Linked DNA regions of Macaca mulatta. The protein of the gene in region 1 purifies or fractionates together with the protein of each later gene. This does not show direct contact. Links are inferred from orthologs where the notes say so. Each region holds a gene or a part of one and is shown in the gene's direction. Other genes may lie near its edges.

Evidence for each region.
Region 2: the proteins of CTNNA1 (region 1) and CDH5 purify together in Homo sapiens (affinity purification with western blotting; 4 studies listed by BioGRID and IntAct, counting the BioPlex papers as one, with this or other methods). This does not show direct contact. The link is inferred for Macaca mulatta from reciprocal best matches to the Homo sapiens genes CTNNA1 and CDH5.
Region 3: the proteins of CTNNA1 (region 1) and TES purify together in Homo sapiens (affinity purification with mass spectrometry; 3 studies listed by BioGRID and IntAct, with this or other methods). This does not show direct contact. The link is inferred for Macaca mulatta from reciprocal best matches to the Homo sapiens genes CTNNA1 and TES.

What each region holds. Positions count from the first base shown.
Region 1 is NC_133411.1:147,648,389-147,652,039, forward strand, and holds part of CTNNA1 (catenin alpha-1), read left to right. Parts: intron 1-744; 5' UTR 745-746; coding exon 747-851; exon of another isoform or gene 852-906; intron 907-2,000; exon of another isoform or gene 2,001-2,026; coding exon 2,027-2,222; exon of another isoform or gene 2,223-2,244; intron 2,245-3,651. UniProt on the Homo sapiens protein: Associates with the cytoplasmic domain of a variety of cadherins. The association of catenins to cadherins produces a complex which is linked to the actin filament network, and which seems to be of primary importance for cadherins cell-adhesion properties.
Region 2 is NC_133425.1:61,909,642-61,913,292, forward strand, and holds part of CDH5 (cadherin-5), read left to right. Parts: intron 1-3,266; coding exon 3,267-3,555; intron 3,556-3,651. UniProt on the Homo sapiens protein: Cadherins are calcium-dependent cell adhesion proteins. They preferentially interact with themselves in a homophilic manner in connecting cells; cadherins may thus contribute to the sorting of heterogeneous cell types.
Region 3 is NC_133408.1:155,767,999-155,771,672, forward strand, and holds the start of TES (testin), read left to right. Parts: upstream 1-834; 5' UTR 835-1,015; coding exon 1,016-1,042; intron 1,043-3,674. UniProt on the Homo sapiens protein: Scaffold protein that may play a role in cell adhesion, cell spreading and in the reorganization of the actin cytoskeleton. Plays a role in the regulation of cell proliferation. May act as a tumor suppressor. Inhibits tumor cell growth.

The sequences.
Region 1 (3,651 bases):
TTGTGGAGTAGGAAAAATCAGGATCTTCTGTATTCGTTTTTGAAGCAATGTCTTTGAAAGTAGCTTTCGGCTGGGCGTGGTGGCTCACACCTGTAATCCCAGCACTTTGGGAGGCCAAGGCGGGTGGATCACGAAGTCAGGAGATCGAGACTATCCTATCATGGCTAACATGGTGAAACCCTGTCTCTACTGAAAATGCAAAAAAATTAGCTGGGCGTGGTGGCGGGCGCCTGTAGTCCCAGCTACTTGGGAGGCTGAGGCAGGAGAATGGTGTGTACCCGGCAGGTGGAGCTTGCAGTGAGCCGAGATCACACCACTGCACTCCAGCCTGGGCGAAAGAGTGAGACTCCGTCTCAAAAAAAAGAAAAAGAAAAAAAAAAAAAAAAAAAGGTTTACTTTAGCTTTTCATCTTGTTTCTAAAAGATTGGGCAGATAAACTGAGTAGGAACTGAAGTAGGAAGTCTTGCGCTAGAGAAGCCCAAAGGGAAACGTTCTGTGTGTTTGGGAATGCCCTCTTGTAGTACCCCTAGTATTTGTAAGCCTGAAATGATTAAATTTTAAGAGATTGTAAGGTTTACTGGGTCCTCATGTGCAGGCTAGTTAGAATTTTTTCATCTGTAGTGAATGTAACTTTCCTGATGCAAAAGTCCCAAAGTAGGAGAAGATTTAAGTAGGAGAAGATTTGTTACATATTTCATGTTTGTGTTTGATGTTTGCTTGACTGATTTTTTGTTTCTTTTTTAGAAATGACTGCTGTCCAGGCAGGCAACATAAACTTCAAGTGGGATCCCAAAAGTCTAGAGATCAGGACTCTGGCAGTTGAGAGACTGTTGGAGCCTCTTGTTACACAGGTAAGAATCTGAAAACACAAATACATTGTAACCTGGTTCTATAGTACAGGCCTGGGTAACAACCATAAGAGCAAGGTTATTTAGTTCAAAGCCTTAATTCCAGTACTTGAGTTTAGGTGACAGTTCTTAGATGATTTGAATATTGATGCATGAGTTTGTTTAACCCTTTGAGAACGCTGCTGTGGTCATTTTCTTCGGTCTTATTGCTAGTAACTGGGGTCCGTGGTATGTAGTGCAACTTTGCAAATGTTTGTGCTTTGCAGATACTTCACCTTTCTTTAGAGGGGAAACCCAAGAAAGGTGGGATCTGGATCCTTGATTGTTAAGGTGTCTCACTCTGCTTAACACACCTTTCATTGTGTGGGATTAATTAGCAGGTAATTGAACTTGAGGGTTTAGGTTTGGTATATTATGTTATAAATGTCACAATGTTAGGGTAGTTCATAAACTGTTAGCAACTAGCTGTGTACCTTTAGTGTTTTGCAATAGTGTGTCTGTTGTCTGTATGTGAGAGATTCAGAGAGAGAGAGAAAATGAGTCTTGTTTGGCAAATTTGCACTGTAACATATCTTAATCATCTTTAACCTACAGATCATCCGGTATTATGTGTATTAATGATGGTAATGTTCTAGGACATAAAGCATCATCACTGTAGGCTTCTTTGGGCAGTCATTCCTTTATTAGGGGCCTTTACTAATAAATTGCTGAGATTTGTGTGAATAAACCGTGAAAAGACTTCAGAAGCAAATTATCTTAAAACATTTTGCAAAGTTTGAAAACAGTGGCAGTACGATCTCCAGATAAAGCTAAGTTCATTGTTAACCTATTTCTGGAACATAGAGTGTTCCAGATACTATATGGGTGACATATAGTAGAGACATCTAGCTTGTCTCTAATCATTTTTTAATTTGTAAAATCAAACTAAAAACCTAATGATCATATTTGAGAAATTAAAATATGTGTTAAATAATTCTGTACACATTGAGAAAGCTGAGTTATTTTGGAAATTAAATATAGTATCATTGCTGTATATCTTAAATATGGGGAATTGTATGTTAATGCTCAGTGGAATCTCATAAATGTGATTTTTTTAAAGAATAACTTAATCTTGCTATCTTTAAAGATATTAGTCATTTTAATTGACTCCAGTTTAATGTTAAAAATGAAACTTTTAGGTTACAACCCTGGTAAACACCAATAGTAAGGGGCCCTCTAATAAGAAGAGAGGTCGTTCTAAGAAGGCTCATGTTTTGGCTGCATCTGTTGAACAAGCAACTGAGAATTTCTTGGAGAAGGGGGATAAAATTGCGAAGGAGAGCCAGTTTCTCAAGGAGGAGCTTGTGGCTGCTGTAGAAGATGTTCGAAAACAAGGTAGGTCATTACTGCTTTTCATGTAAAGAGAGGCAGGCCTTTCTAGAAAATAAGTGTTTGAAGGAGATTTTTTTTGTGGTCAGTATTCTCAGTTCTCATGCTTGCCAATTGCTCAGTAACTTACTCAGTTATTGGAGATGTATTAACTTGGACTGGATCATATTTTAATTCTCATTCTCATGCTTGCCAATTGCTCAGTAACTTAGTTATCGGAGATGTATTAAGTTGGACTGGCTCAAATTTTAATCATGAGAGATGCTTGCAAAGGGACATCTGGAGAATCTGAATCCACTTCTCTTGGGTGTTTCAAGTAATAGTTAAGTCTTAGAAATGTTGTAACACAATTTGATAGGAAACGTGGGACAGAAGTTTACCTTTCATTCTATGTAATACTTTTTAATTCATGCTGAAGAGATGGGTGTGATAAAATAGAAAAATACCTACTCTGAAAATACTCTAGAAATTGTTCTGTTATGTCAGATTAGTATGTTAAATCAGCCATGCATATTTGCACTGGTTGGAGCTTGACTTAAATAAATCTGGGCATAAAGGAATCATGTTTTGGGAAACTCAGAATTGATAAAAAGTAAAATGGTAATCCACAGTTTACCAGTAATTAATGCTAGAAAAATTGTCCTTACTGTGTTACAAGTGTGGAAGGAAGACTTTAAATATGGAAAGTAAACTTCTCGAAACCTGCAGTTTTTATTTTTAGTAGAGATGGGGTTTCACCAGTGGCTCATGCTGGTCTCAAACTCCCAAGCTCAAACAATCCACCTGCCTCGGTCTCCCAAAGTGCTGGGATTGCAGGCATGAGCCACAGCCCCCACCCTTGAAACCTGTGGTTTTGTGTTAGGTTTCTATTCCAGTCAGAGAATTTCAACAATGCTGTAGGTTTTTTAGGTTATTGGCTATCAGCTAAGGTAAATTGAGCCCTGCTATTTACAGGTGCTCTACTAGCCCTTGGGAGAACTTCATAGATCTTTCATACCTGATGGTAGATTGCATAGTCCAGAGTCTTATGTCAAATTCATCCTTGTGGCAGTACCCTAAAATGGGCAGTGTCTTAGATGGAGATGACATCTCCAGTTGTTTTCTGAATTTGTGAACAAATAACCTTCAGTGGTAAATATTTTTTCAGTTTTCAGGCTGAAGATAAATATTTCTAATACTGAAAATGAAATTATTAGAATTCCACAGTACTAATTAAGCAGGTATATTAGTTTCCTAGGGCTTCTGTAACATAAACTATGACAAGCTTGGTGGCTTAGAATAATAGAAATTTATTCTCTCATGATTCTGAAGTGCAGAAATCTGAAATCGAGGTGTTGGCAGGCTTGATTCCTTGTTGGGACTTAGGAAGAATCTGTGCATGCCTTTTTCCTAGCTTCTGGTGGTTGCCAGCAGTCCTTAGCATTCCTTGGCTTGT
Region 2 (3,651 bases), on another chromosome or scaffold:
CAGGTCACCGGTTACAGAACTGAGGCATAGCTTCTTGCCTCTAGTCCAGCTGTTCATCATGCATCCCAGCCACTGGGCCTTAGTACATCCTCATGAACCCACCTGCCCCCTGCACGCCACAGCCCTGCTCCAAGATGCTTGTCGCTGCCCACCTCTCTCCCACCCTGCCCAACCAAGGGGGCGATCCTCACTCCCTGTCTCCACTTCCTCCCCTTCTAGACTTTTCCCTAGGCTGCATCATCTAACTTCCCACCCTATCAACCCCTGTCACTGCCCTCACTGAGGGCTCCAATGACTGCACTGCTGCTAAACCCTGGGGACACTTTCCAGACCTCATGGGATGTGGCCATACCCTTCTGGAATCTCCCTCTTCTTTCTTGAGACCCCAGCCTCTTTGAGTTCTCTGGAGGAGTCCAGCCCTTTTTTTTTTTTTTTTGAGAGTCAGAGTCTCACTCAGTCACCCAGGCTGGAGTGCAGTGGCGTGATCTTGGCTCACTGCAACCTCTGCCTCTGGGGCTCAAATGATCCTCCTTGCTCAGCCTCCCAAGTAGCTGGGACTACAGGCGTGTGCCACCACAGCCAGCTAATTTTTTTTTTTTCTGTATTTTTAATGGAGATGGGGTTTCACCATGTTGGCCAGGCTGGTCTCAAACTCCTGACCTCAAGTGATCCACCCACCTTGGACTCCCAAAGTGCTGGGATTACAGGCGTGAGCCACCACACCCACCCGAGCCCAGCCTTTCTAAGAGTCCTCACCAGATGCCTTCACGTAAAATCCCTTGCTCTATTTGACCTTAAATCATGTGAGGCAGACTCAGTAGCTTATGCCTGTAATCCCAGCATTCTGAGAGACCAAGGCAGGAGAATTGCTTGAGGCCAGGAGTTTGAGAACAGCCTGGACAACATAGTGAGACCCCATCTCTACAAAAAAATACAAAAATTAGCCAAGCTTGGTGGTGCACACCTGTAGTCCCACCTACTCCAGAGGCTGAGGCAGAAGGATCGATTGAGCTCAGGAAGGGGAGGTTGTAGTGAGCCAACACTGTACCACTGTACTCCAACCTGGACTACAGAGTGAGACCCTGTCTCAAAAAAATAAAAAGAGGTTGGGCGTGGTGGCTCACACCTGTAATCACAGCACTTTGGGAGGCTGAGGCAGGCAGATCGCTTGAGGTCAGGAGTTTGAGACCAGCATGGCCAACATGGTGAAATTCCGTCTCTACTAAAAATAGAAAAATTAGCCAGGCGTGGTGGCACGTGCCTGTAATTCCAGCTACTGAGGAGGCTGAGGCAAAATAATCACTTGAACCCAGGAGGTGGAGGTTGCAGTGAGCCAAGATCATGCCACTGCAGTCCAGCCTGGGCAACAGAGCTAAACTCCATCTCAAAAAAAAAAAAAAAAAAAAAAAAAAGCAATGTTGCACTTCCTCAGCGTGCTGGCCTCTGAGGCTGCAAACCTAGGTCCTGAGAGCCAAATGGGATCTGTGCCCTCTGTTCTCCTAGTGGGAGCCTGGCACCTCCCAGGCACCCAGGTATATTTTTTAATTGAATAGAATTCTATTTTGGGGACATACTAATCTTCTGTGAGAGTATCATTGTATATGCATAAAATACTATTCTACGGGAACTGTACTGTTCCTAATATTTTCTGTTTCTATGATTCTTTAAATGGAATGTTTAGCAATTCTAGCCTTCTAAGATCCTCTAATCTGTGGCTCTATTATTAATAATTATTAACTAGCACTTATTGAGCCCTGTTTCGTGTAAGATGCTTTACATATATTATTTTCCAAATCTTATTCCTTGGGACATGAACAGTACATGTTACACAGAAAAATGATTCTGTGGCCTGAGAAGTATGGAAAATCCTGAGTTACACAAAGTTCACTGGAGTTCTCTTCTGCAGAGCTGTACATTGTAAATCTCCAAGAAGAGAATATTTTATATACCATTTCCTGTACTGGGCCCAGGGGTGTGCTGATAAATGTTTGACAACTGGCTGTCCAGGGGAAAGGGTTTGATTTGTAGTACTTGCCAATTTCCACAGTGTAAATACTCTCAACATGTCTCATTTCAAGCTATCGATGTGATGTCATCGAAGGCCAAGACAAGATGGGAGAAGATACTCATGAGTGCATCATTATTTAGTATTTCCATCATACAGATACCATAAACACAGATAACCTCAAAACGTAGTCAAAGGTAGCAAAATAATTAGGAAGCGATGAATTCTGGGAATTTGTTGTTTTTCATATGATTTATTTAATTGTAAGTTTATATAATTTAATTTGTAATAATGGCTGTATTTAACAATCAGCTCACAAATATTCCTGAAAATTTAAGCTGGTTCTCAAAAGCCAAGGTGATACAATCCAGTGCCAGCACACCACTGGCTAGGACTCCATCTTTGTGTGGAACAGCAAAAGAGTTCAGTGTTTCCCAGAACTCATCTTCAAAGGTGCTGTTCTACTCAGAGCAAAGCAACATCAGAAGCGATATTATTTCCGTTTTACAAGTGAGATAACTAAAACTCAGAGAGGTTAAGTGACTTCTACAGGGCAAAAATATCCTTTGCCTTCCAATGGCACCAAGTATATTTTTCCACTCAAAAAAAAAAGTTTTCTAAGCACCTACTCTGTTCAGGCACCATTCTAGGCATATTGGGACTCTGCCAGGCAACTCACACCATGAGAACAATTCATTGGTGACTAGTCAGAGGTTCTTTTTGGCTTTTTAAAAATTTTATTTTCGGGGGTACATGTCCGTGTTCGTTACATGTATATTGCATACTGGTGGGGATTGGGCTTCTAGCGTACCCATTACCCAAATAGTGAGCATTATGGCCAATAGGTTATTTGTCAACGCTCACCCTTATCCCAACCTCCCCTCTATGGGAATCCCCAGTGTTGATTATTTCAATTTTTATGGTCATATGTACCAATTGTTTAGCTCCTACTTATAAATGAGAATATGTGGTGTTGGATTTGTTGCTTCTGGGTTAGTTCACTTAGGTTCATTTAGGATTATGGCCTGCGGCTCTATCCATGTTGCTGCAAAGGACATGATTTTATTCTTTTTTATGGCTGCCAGAGGTTCTTGATAAAAACCTCAGTGTCACACTTAGAGACCCTGGCCAGCACCACACACACCACAAACACACATGCACACACATGCACATGCACACTTGTGTACACATTCTCATTCACATACTCTCACATGCAGCCGCCGCCACCCATTCCCAGTTCACGTCATCTCTTCTTTTCTAGATCAAGTCAAGTGTGAGTCGCAAGAACGCCAAGTACCTGCTCAAAGGAGAATTTGTGGACAAGGTCTTCCGGGTCGATGCAGAAACAGGAGACGTGTTTGCCATTGAGAGGCTGGACCGGGAGAACATCTCAGAGTACCACCTCACTGCTGTCATTGTGGACAAGGACACTGGCGAAAACCTGGAGACTCCTTCAAGCTTCACCATCAAAGTTCATGACGTGAATGACAACTGGCCTGTGTTCACGCATCGGTTGTTCAATGCGTCCGTGCCTGAGTCATCGGCTGTGGGTACGTTGTATGCCCACTCTGTCCTCCTTCTTCTCCCTCCTCCCTCCCTCATCCCCAACCTGGGGGCACCTCTCACATCAGCCACTTCACTGCCTG
Region 3 (3,674 bases), on another chromosome or scaffold:
AAGTAATCTTAGGCTCCCTTCCGGACCCACCAATCTGAAGGTATTAGATGCAATTGCTCCTGAATTAGGGCATGAAATGAGTTCAGCTCTGGTGCACCAATGTGATGACTCTGCGTCATCAAAGCCTGAGCACGCGATAGGCCTAGCACCATTTCACACAGCACAAAGGGCAACCCTCTACTTCCAAAGGAATGACACCTGTTTCTGAAGTGATTCACATCATCTTTACTTTTGAACAACCCAATGCTCAGGAAACAATCTAAGAATATTCACTGACGTTAGGGATGTAAGATGCGGTTTCTTGACAGTATTTGGGATTTTGGAGAAAAGCAATCGAGGAAAGGGCATCTCCACAACGCAATAGTCAATTTAGTGCCCAAGGTCCATCACAGGAATCCCTAACGATCCCTACAATCTCTCTCTTTCTCTTTTTCTTTTATTTTTTCTCTCTTTGCTCTGAAAATAAACTGAGAAGTTAGTTTGAAAATAAACTGAGAAGTTGGGATACCTATTCCCCTTGACCCAGATAAAAAGTCCTGGGCAAACACAGGTACAAATTGCCAAAATGAAAAAAGTTCTGCTCTATCTTCAGCTAGAGGGAGGCTGGATCCCAGCTCTTTAGAAGCGGCCCGTGGACGCCCAGAGCATCCTCCGGGGACCAGGTCAGGGTCCCCGAGCTTGCCCCGCAGGGCGCCGCCCCGGACGCGGCCCCGCCCTTCACCTTGCCAGCGCCGAGCTCGAGCCGCGAAGGTGCGTGCGGCGCTCGGTGATTGGCGGCGGCCCGGGGCTGCCCGGCTGCCATTGGCTGCCCGGCCCTCTTTGTTCCCGGGTCCCTGCCGCAGGCCGGCTGCGGCGGACTGGGCGGCGGAAGTTCGACGGCGCCGGTCGAGTGGCTGCTGGGCGGCGGCGTGGGAGTTCCACAGGTTCCCCGTGTCCGCAGCGGAGCCGGAGGCCAGCTGAGCCCGGCCGTGGGATCCCGGACTGGAGGAGGAGGGGACCCATAGGACGCATAAACATGGACCTGGAAAACAAAGTGAAGAAGGTAGGGGGGTGCTCAGGGGGGCGCTCGTGGCGGGCAGCGGCTGCTTCGCCTGCGCGGGTCGAGCGGTGCGCGGCGGCCGGAGGTGCCGAGGCGGGTGGGGCTTGCGGGCCGCCTGGCGTGAGCCCGGCTCTGGGTCTGCGGTGTCCCGGGCCCAGAGATCCGGCCCCCTGGGTAGAGTAGGTGCCCGCCGGCCCCGCCAGCTCCCCAAACTCGAGAGCGACAAAATTGGAAGCGCGAGCGAGGGCGGGCGCGGGGCTCTTCTCTCCCGTCTTACGGAGTCCCAGCGGTTGGAGGTGTTGGAAACTTTACTTAAGATGTTTCAGCTCTGCCTGTGCCTCCTCAAAAGGACGAGCTTAGGGCGAGTGCGGGCGAGACCGTGACACTTCCTGGCTCAGGAAGTTCAACTTCATTAAGCCTTTGTGGTTTGGGGCTCTGCTGTGCTTTGACAGCTCTGACCTCCTCCCTTCCAGCTGGGCTGCCTGGGGCCCTATAAAATGAGTGTTGATTTAATGCACTGCCTTCGCACCCGTGCTGGTGATAACTTCTAATGTGAATTTTTTTTTTTTTTTTTTTTTTTTTTTGGTCATTCATTACTTGTCTACCGAAGCACTGCCTCCCTCTTAGGGAATTATCTGTCAAAGCGCGCATTCTCCCTGTTTGGCAGGGAGTCCCAAAGGGCGGTTGTCACCAGCGTCTCAGCGCAGGGAGACATTTCCAGCCTGGCTGCTGCCTCGCAGGCATTGGAACCGATGGCCTTACCTGAGCCACTCCCGGGTTATGCGGAGCCTGGTGTCGCCTGGGAGAAAAGGGTGGGGACCAGACTGTGACTCAGAAGGAATGCTGATGTCACATTCGAGTGAATTGCCCTGTGCGAAAGTTCTCCTCGTTCCAGGGGATTTGCTCATATTTTACTTTGTGGTAAATTTAAGCTAGCTCTCCCTTATCGGATAGGGAAGTTTTGCAGAGAGAGGAAGGGAAAAATAAAAGTTTGTTTTTTCTCTTACTCATGGTTCCTAATATTCTTATTTTATCTTCTAAACACAAAGTTTCTGACTTGAGCATTAATTCTATTTTATGCCCAGAATTGGATTTTTGAAAATGGATAGAAAGTATTGTGTTAGGACTGCAGAGTTTTCGGTTAGGAAGCTGTTGACCAATAAAAACTTGAAATGAGAAAACAGTTTTTTTCATTCCTTAGGACTGAAATTCGCAAGCACTCAAAAAGGTATCCAGGAACAGAAAAACATAAATTGTTGAGAGTAGCGTGATTGCATTCTATTCTCTTTCCATTTGGTTTCTTTCTTTTTTTCTTTTAAGTAACTGATATTTTTGGTTAATCTTGCTTGTCATGGGGGAAAAGCGGGGAAAGCATTTTTCTCGCTTAGCTTTCTGTTGATGAATACTACATTCATTTAGTTTTCAAGTGGGTAAGAGCTACTTAATTTAGTACTTGTCTAAAACTTGAGGGGTCTTGTCCTTGCTTTTAAGTATTTATTTGAAGACAACTTTGTCAAAGTAAACATATTTTGGGTTGGCCAGGAAGAACAGGTGAAGCACAGGATTTTTAGGGTAATGACCCTATTCTGTATGATACTATAAAATGGCGGATACATGTAATTATACATTAAAATCCATAGAATGTAGAACACCGAGAGTAAACCCTAATGTAAACTATGTATGTTGGGGATAATGATGTGTCAATGTGTTTCATCACTTGTGACAAATGTACAGCACTGATAACGGGATGTTGGTAGTCCGGGAGGCTGCTTGGAGATGGGGAGGCACGGGGGAGGTACATAGGAACTTCGAATTTTCTGCTCAATTTTGCTGTGAAGCTAAAAAATGCTTTAAAAAACAAAGTCCGCTTAATAGGGGAAGAAAAATCAAAGATATTTTTGAAGCTTTTTGAGACAAGGAGTAATTCTGAGGGAAAAAAGTTCAAAGTTAAAAATTGTATGTGCTTGCAAAGGAAAAATGCAGACGTTGTTTATAAACAATTTCCTTAGAGTTTGAAAATGTGGATTATGATAAATAATGCCCTTGACATATGGTATAGTTTTCCTCCTTTATCCCCCACTTTACCTTTAAAAGTTATGTTTTCAACCAAGAATCTTAACTTCCTCTAATTCTCCTCCTCTCTGCCTCTACCACCCCAAAAAGATTTCCGTAAATTAAAGGTTTTAGAGAGAATCTCATGATACAGCAAATCCCTGTTTCACTACGTTGTCTTCACTGATGATTCTTAGAACAGAATCCTCACCTGGTAAATTGGAAGCTATTAAAAAACTGCAAAGATGTCCTATTTGACTCCAGTTTGTGTGGGTCCCTTAATAGATTTGATATTCTAACAAAAAGTTTCCCAGTACAAAAGTTTGGAAATCTCAGGAATGTATTTCACAATCTTGGCCATACTCTCAAAAAGAAATTTACGTTCCTTTTAGCAATTGTTTTCTAACACATCCAAAGAAGGAAATATTACAAGACTATCTGATTTACCAGCACAGTCTTCTCACCCTATTTTGGTACCTAGTTTTCAAGTCGCCTTTCTTTTTGACTCAGTTATACAAGAAAATTAATAGTTTGAATGTACCTTGAGAAAAGGCAGATTAAAAGTTGGAACAAAGACACAACC